Linked DNA regions of Mus musculus. The protein of the gene in region 2 purifies or fractionates together with the protein of the main gene of each other region. This does not show direct contact. Links are inferred from orthologs where the notes say so. Each region holds a gene or a part of one and is shown on either strand. Other genes may lie near its edges. The genes, in order: Slmap and Stk25.

Region 1 (3,819 bases), on a different chromosome or scaffold from region 2:
GAGACATCTCCCTATGGCTTTTGATTCTCTTTTTATAGTTTTATTTATTTATTTATTATTACTGTGTGTGCGCTTGCATGTCTGTGTGTCTACGTATGTGTGTATGTACACGAGTGTTACACATGCCTAAGTTCTAGTGCATGGGTACCATGGCCCTCAAGTGGAGGTCAGAGGACAACTCTGAGGACTTTCCGTCCTCCACCATGGATTCTATAACCGGTTTTAGTACCCACACTGAGCTATCTCATCATTTCATAGCATATTGATTTGTTTCTCCTTCCAAGTGTATATTAGAAAATGCTGTTCTTTTCTTAGTCTATGGGATGCTGAAGCAAACACTACATCTGCTGTTATGAAGTGCTGACTACATTTCCATCTAGAAGTATGTCTACTTTAAAGGCTTTCAATTTCAACAATAATAGAGGATAGACTAAATAGAATACATTTTCTATTTTCACTATCAGTTTCAACTTTTTAATTTTACCCAATTTTACATCACCAGCTCTTGAGTGACTAATAAACGTCTTAAGCGATTAGCACGTTAGTGACGCTAACATGCGTCTAGTGGTTGACATAGAAGCTGTGATGGCTGGATTAAGAATGTCCCTCACAGGTCACATGTCTGAACACTTGGTACTCAGTTGGTAATGCTGTTTGGGTAGGTCTAAGAAGTGTGCCTTTGTGGGAGGAATATGTCACAGGGTATAGACTTGGATGTTTCAGAGGCTCAAGCCATTCCCAGTGATCTCTAAGCTTCCAGCTCCAGCTGCCATAGATGACTGCTGCCACACTTCCTCGCCATGATGGTGAAAGGCTCCTCTGGAACCCCAAGCCCAAGTAACCTCTTCCTTCTATAAAGTATTCTGTTCATGGTATCCTACCACAGCAACACAAAAGGAACTAGTATACATACCTTTAATTTATCAGATAAATCTTTAATTTCATTAACTGCTCCATTATATTTATTGGCTAATTCTCTCAACTCTTCCTGAGTGCGCTCATTCATCTCTTTCAGGTGGGTACATTCATCTTCAGTATTACTCAGACTTCGCTGCAAGGCAAGTTCACAGGGAATTCAGTTAGAGTAAATGGGTACTTATTTTAAATTTATCGTTCAATTTTATTTTCAATTTGTAAAAAGTGTAGTTCTGAACTAGTCTACATCAACATTTGGATTAAATTTATAAAAAGCTGATTTAAAAGACAAAATAATTTCAGCAACATATATACTAAAACGTAACTCTTAACAATATTATGTTACTCAAGCTGGCTTCAAGTTCACTATGAAGTACAGGCTAGCCTAATCTCCTGTGAATCTCCTGCCTTAGACTCCCAAGTGCGGTGATTATAAGTACACTCTATCGCACTCAACCTCTAAGTCAACAATCCTTAAAGTAAGAATAAAACCATATAACAATTCATCTAATGTGAAAACAGAAAGACACCTGAAACTTTGTGTGTATGTCAGATTAATCAAACATCAATGAACATAAAGCACGTGTTATAGAATGAGACCATAATACAAACTATCCATTATCCATGTCCTCACACATGCTAAGCACATGCCCACTGAGCTAGATCCTCAGTCACAAGAATCACACTTTGATTTTTCATAGAACCTGGACAATATTAACTTGTAAAGCCTAAGATAAAGTGCCACCCTAAAGCAGTAGGTATTAACTTCTGTGGGCAGAACAATCTCATAGGGTGCCTAAGACCATCCAAAAATATGGGTGCTCACATTAGAATTAACAGTAGCAAAACTACAGTTACGGAGTAGCAACAAAAATAACCTTATGGTTGGGAGTCAGGTCAGCACACATGAGGAACTGTATTAAAGGCCTGAGCACTAGGAAGGCTGAGAGCCACTGCTCTAGAGGATGGCTGAAGTAGTAACGTCTCAGCCTTATGTGACCATCGTCAATTATGTGACAAAAGATCAATTCCCACCAGACATGGTGCCAGCAAGTCTTTAATTCCACCACTTGGAAGACAAAAGTAGTCCAGGGGCCAACCTGCTCTAACTCCAGACCAGGCAATGATAGCTCAGTTCCCAGCATCCACATCAGATGGGTGAAAACTGCCTATAATTCCAGGTCCAGTGGATTCGAGGCCTCAGCCTTCTGCAGACACGTTCACTAGCACACAATACCCACACTTACTTCACATAGACATAATTTTAAAAGTAAAACAAATCTTTAAAAACAATGGCAGTAAAAGTGAAATACCTCAACTTCTGAAAGTTTTCTAACCACTTCGATTTTCTCCTGAAGAACCCGCCTCAGGGACTCTTTGGCTGTGGTTTCATAGCTGTGTTTATCCTCCTGCAGTGCAATCAGCTCCTTCCGTAAACTGTCTTCTGTTTGATTCTAGGATAAGACACTCACATCACACCCAAGTCACTTTTCTGTGAAAACTGTTTATCCTTTGAAAGAAACTCATTAAAATACTCAAAATTATAATGTCACGGTACCCACAAATACAAATGTTGGCCTACTATTAACTAAATGTGTATTTCAAAGTTGCAGTAGTAACTTATACTTCAGAAATTACACTAATTTCAATAGAAATGAGCTAAAGGCAAATAGTTTATCTCAAATATTAAGATTAATTACTCGTATTCTGTAGAAGCTATCATAGTTTCAGTTATAAGCAAAAATCATTGCTCATAATTTCATTTGCCCCAAACGGAAGCAGTAAGAGCTTCGTGAGGAAAAAGGAAAGTCCAGGGTTGGAACAAAAACTGTGCAGGTGAGCACAGGGCCTCCAGGCTCGCAGTCGGCTGGAGCCATTAAAGCAGGTGAGAGAGAGCCAGAGAGCCAACCTCAAAGCATTTACTCACAGAAAACTCAGACTGATTTGATCATCCACAAAGATAACTACTAGTATAGACTTAAACACACCAAAATGTACTTCAATCTAAGCAAGAGAGAAAGCACTACATTGTCATTTGCTGCTGGATTAAAACAACAAAAAAAAAAAACCCAAAAAACAGTTTATTCTGTTTTAATCTAGTAAATAATTGGGGGAGACTTGTTTTGTTTTGTTTTTTTTTCTGTAGAAAATATACTTCAGAGTAATAAGATGGTTCATGAAGGAAGAATTCTCTCTGAAGAAGTAAATGAAGAAATGGCAGAATTGCATTACTATGTTAAATATCCTTAATGAAATAATGAACCTCGTGAAGAGTCATCAATGAATGGTAACATCTTAAAAGGAGAGCCATCTGCGATTATGTCTTTGATTGAAGAACAAAACCATCCATGGTGAGTGGACAGGTGAAACAAGTATCATAACCTCTGACCAGACCAATTATCTACTACTTCATGCCAAAGAACCAGAAAAATGCTTGCTTGCTTGCTTTCTTTCTTTCTTTTTCTTTTTTTCTTTTTTTTTTTTTTTTTTTTTTTTGGTTTTTGAAGATAGGGTTTCTCTGTATAGTCCTGGCTGTCTTGGAACTCACTTTGTAGACCAGGCTGGCCTCAAACTCAGAAATCCACCTGCCTCTGCTTCCTGAGTGCTCGGATAAAAGGCGTGCGCCACCACACCGGCTCAGAAAAATGTTTCAATAAACATTTATATAAACCAAGTTTAAATCAAGTCACATTCCAGAAGGCAAATCACTTCGTCAATGAATATCAATCAATTGTAATAGAAAAAGAAATCAGAATTGAGCACAGGTATGCATCACACAATTCTTCCCACTTATATGTATACTTGAATTTTTTTGCGACAAAGATGTGAAAGAATTGTGGACTATATAAATGTTTTAACATAAACTCAAATAACAGAGACCTGAAACTACAGAAAACACCATGA
Region 2 (3,819 bases):
ATAAGTTCAGTGAGAAAGGAGGTCTTCTTGGTGTATCGTGTGATGAATTTGTGCTTCAGGAGCTCCTTGGCAGTGGGTCGCTGCCAGGGAGACAGACAAAGTCAGAGCTGAATTCCACCCTCACAAAAGACACAAGGAAGGACAGGTAAGGATGTGAAGGCTGGGCCCTGTCCCACCAAGTTTACATCCTCCCTTCATAAACTTCCCCAAACCCCTCAGCTGCCTGGGGTGGCCCAAGTGGATATAGGCCTTACGAATCGTGGGTCCTTATTGAGGCAGGCCTCTACAAACTCCTTGAAGGGTTTGCTGTGGTGGCCCTCCAATGTGGGTGGGTTGTTCTTGGGAATCAGGAACAGGACTCGCATAGGGTGGAGATCAGAGTTTGGCGGCTCCCCCTTGGCCAGCTCAATGGCTGTGATGCCCAGGGACCAGATGTCAGCCTAGAGAGTTATCACACAGGACAGTTGCTACGTGAAACATTTTGAGTGGTGGCAGTATACTCTCACCTCCCATCCAGAACTCACCTTGAAGTCATAGGCCGACTGCTTGATAACCTCAGGTGCCATCCAGAAGGGTGTACCCACAAATGTGTTCCTCTTGATTTGTGTGTCTGTGAGCTGCCCAGCCACACCGAAGTCTGCCAGCTTCACATCACCCTGCTCCGAGAGCAGCACGTTGGCAGCTGCTCAATACAGGATAGGTGGGCATCATCCTTGGCTCCACAGCCCCCCAAAATAACCCTGCATGCAACTCCCTGACTAGTGATGGGATGGTATCCTCTGGCCCCTAGGGACAGCAGCAGATATGTCTTGGGAACTTAGTTTTCCTGGACATTGGCCACTGCTGGCAAGGGCAGGCAATCTGGGGGACCTACAGGAACATTCCTACCTTTGTTCCAGGGCCTGGCATGTTTGTGTTTTCTGACAAGCACCAACAATAGTGACACCTCACATATAATCATAGTGACCCTAACTGAATTGTACAGCTGGAATGGCTCGTCAGGGCATCTATCACTCTGCCTATAGGATTCCACCCTGTGACATAAGGCTCAGCTATCCTCACTAAGTCATTCATGGTGGGCTGGCCCAACTTTGTGAGTCCTCATCAGGACTGGACCACACAGAAGTGTTGCACAAATCCACATCTGAATCCACACACTGCTCCTGCTTTGTACTAGTACACAACTGGTTTCCTTCACATATATGAAATCAAAGATTAGGAGATGTGAGATTAAGGTTTTTTCTAGGCTGGCAAAGTAGCTCAGTTGCAGAATGTTTGCTTAGAATGCATAATCCCCTAGGCTCTACCCTCAGTGTGGCCATTAAAAATGGGGATAAAAAGTAAAATGGACAACCCCCCCCCCCCAATTCCCCAGTTTCCAGGTGGCAGAAGCGTTCCCCACATCCCATGCCCTCAGGCACCACAATCTACTAGGCTCCACATGCCCATCTCTTTCTAGGTCATGGGCAGAACTGCATCCAAGCCCACCCCGCAGGACCTTTGATATCTCGGTGGATCTTGCGCTCTGAGTGCAGATAATCCAGGCCTTTCAGGATCTCCCGCAAGATGGTGGCAATATAGGTCTCTTCCAGGGGACCAGGTTTCAGCTGCAGGAGCACAGACAGGAAGAACTTCAATTGCAGCTACCACACCCATACCTCCACAGCACCTGAACAGCACCACCCACCAACTTCTGAGTCCTGCAAAAGAAGCCTGGGGGCCTTTATGTTCCTTAGTTCCTATAGTTTCAGATGTCAAGGATAATGGGGGAAGTAAGGAGAAATGGGGGTGACAGCTGTTTTCAGAAAACTTAAGAGTTGCTTTAATCTTTTCTGTGACTATAAAGATGGGAATAGGTTAACCAAGGACCTGACACTCTTATTTGTCTGGGGGCTCTAACTGTGCCTATTCCCCTAGCCCAGTAGAGGCCCAAGACTTCTTTTAGCATCAACTAGAGCAAGATGAACAGTGATTTGTTTTGAAACTAACAATTCCTGTTAACATACAGAACTGTGATAGGTAGCCTGAGAAAGGCCACAAGCCTAAAAGTGTGCAGGGCAGTGGTTCCTGGGCCACTGAAAGACAAGCCTCAAGAGCAAGCCGCTCACTGCTCGAGTCTGAACTTACCAAGTCCAGTGCAGAGCCACCACCCAGGTACTCCATGATAATCCACAGCTTGGTGCTCTGGGAGCAGAGAAACCTGTCAGTGCCTGGGCAGGAAATGCAGCAGGAATATCCAAGCGGGGACTCCACAAGCCACCCCCTCTAACTCCTCCAAAAGTAGTCAGCTAGGGGCTTAGCCCATACAGCAACTATACCAGGCAAGTTCCTGCCAAGTAAGATAGGGTTCTAGCCGGGCAAGGTAGTGAATGCTTATATCCCAACACTTGGAAGGATCAGAAGTTCAAGGCCAAATTGGGGGACATGAGACTTGTGTTCAACTCCCAACACCCATATCAGGTAGCTCACAAAGGCCTGTAGCCCCCATACCAGAAGAACCCAATACCCTTTCTGGCCTCCGCAGACACACGCACAGACTAATTGTAGACATACCCCCACCCAGCACAGACAGGTAAAAATAATAACAAAAAAATTAGTATTAACAAATTAAAAGGAGGACCAAGCCAGGCATGGTGGAAGAGGCAGGTGGGTATCTGTGAGTTTAAGGCCAGCCTGGTCCATATAGTAAATGGACAAACAGAATTACACAGTGAGCTGGGCAGTGGTGGCACACACCTTTAATCCCAGCACTTGGGAGGCAGAGGCAGAGGCAGGTGGATTTCTGAGGCCAGCCTGGTCTACAGATTGAGTTCCAGGACAGCAAGGGCTACACAGAGAAACCCTGTCTAGAAAAACAAAAACAAACAAACAAACAAAAACAGAATTACACAGTGAGACCCTGTCTCAAAAAACAGTAACAAACCACCAAAAACAAAACAAAAAAGGAATGCAAGAAGCGGTGGCATACACCTTATTCCTATACTTGGGAGATAGAGGCAGGCATATCTCTTGTGAGTTCAAGGCCACCCTGGTCTACACAGACTCTGTCCAGGGGGAGGAATGGAGAAAAGGCCTCTCTGACCACCCAGCTACCATACCTCTGCTACAGGCACCTGGTGGACAGGCCAATTGCTCAAAGCAGTAGATGAGTCTTCTCTGTACTCTCTACACTCTGCTCAAGTGCCCTCCAGGCAGTCCCTAAAAGTACTGACTGCCTTCAGGGGCCCCTTAGACTGTGCCTAACAGTACTGACAGACATTTTAGAGCCTACTGAGGACTGGCACTTCTCAAGAGAATAGGCTGTTTTTGTGAAGCTGAGATATTTGGAAGGGTGGGCCTCTCTGCCCTTCCAGAGGGATTCCCATGTGCCCACAGCTGTCACCTTCTCTTCTCTCTCCTATCCTTGGACACATATTAATCCCTCTGGAAACAAAAGAGAAAGCCTGGCACAGAACCTTCAGAATGCTCCATCCCCAACCACTACAGATCCCTCCTTCTTGTAGGCACCTTCAGGTAGGAGCCGAAGTAGCGGGTGATATAAGGACTGTCACATTGGCTGAGCACAGTGATCTCCTGTTGGATGTCCTCAATTTCATCCTCGGCCTCTTCCAAGTCAATGATCTTGATGGCCACCACTTCCTTGGTGTGGTTGTCGATCCCCTTGTACACCTCCCCAAATGAGCCTTTGCCAATGCGGTCAAGCTTGGTGAAGAGTTCCTCTGGGTCCACACGAGAATGCTATAGAAGCCAATAGAGAAGAATGTTGGGACACTGCATGGACAACAGCCATTAGAGAAAATACTAGACAGATACTGCCCT

What was found.
Region 1: the proteins of Stk25 (region 2) and Slmap purify together in Homo sapiens (affinity purification with mass spectrometry; 5 studies listed by BioGRID and IntAct, with this or other methods). This does not show direct contact. The link is inferred for Mus musculus from reciprocal best matches to the Homo sapiens genes STK25 and SLMAP.

The regions. Positions count from the first base shown.
Region 1 is NC_000080.6:26,461,348-26,465,166, forward strand, and holds part of Slmap (sarcolemmal membrane-associated protein), read right to left. Parts: intron 2,370-3,819; coding exon 2,229-2,369; intron 1,052-2,228; coding exon 914-1,051; intron 1-913. UniProt on the Homo sapiens protein: Associates with the striatin-interacting phosphatase and kinase (STRIPAK) core complex, forming the extended (SIKE1:SLMAP)STRIPAK complex.
Region 2 is NC_000067.6:93,625,527-93,629,345, forward strand, and holds part of Stk25 (serine/threonine-protein kinase 25), read right to left. Parts: intron 3,739-3,819; coding exon 3,508-3,738; intron 2,185-3,507; coding exon 2,128-2,184; intron 1,608-2,127; coding exon 1,499-1,607; intron 683-1,498; coding exon 525-682; intron 441-524; coding exon 255-440; intron 120-254; exon of another isoform or gene 81-119; coding exon 1-80. UniProt on the Homo sapiens protein: Oxidant stress-activated serine/threonine kinase that may play a role in the response to environmental stress.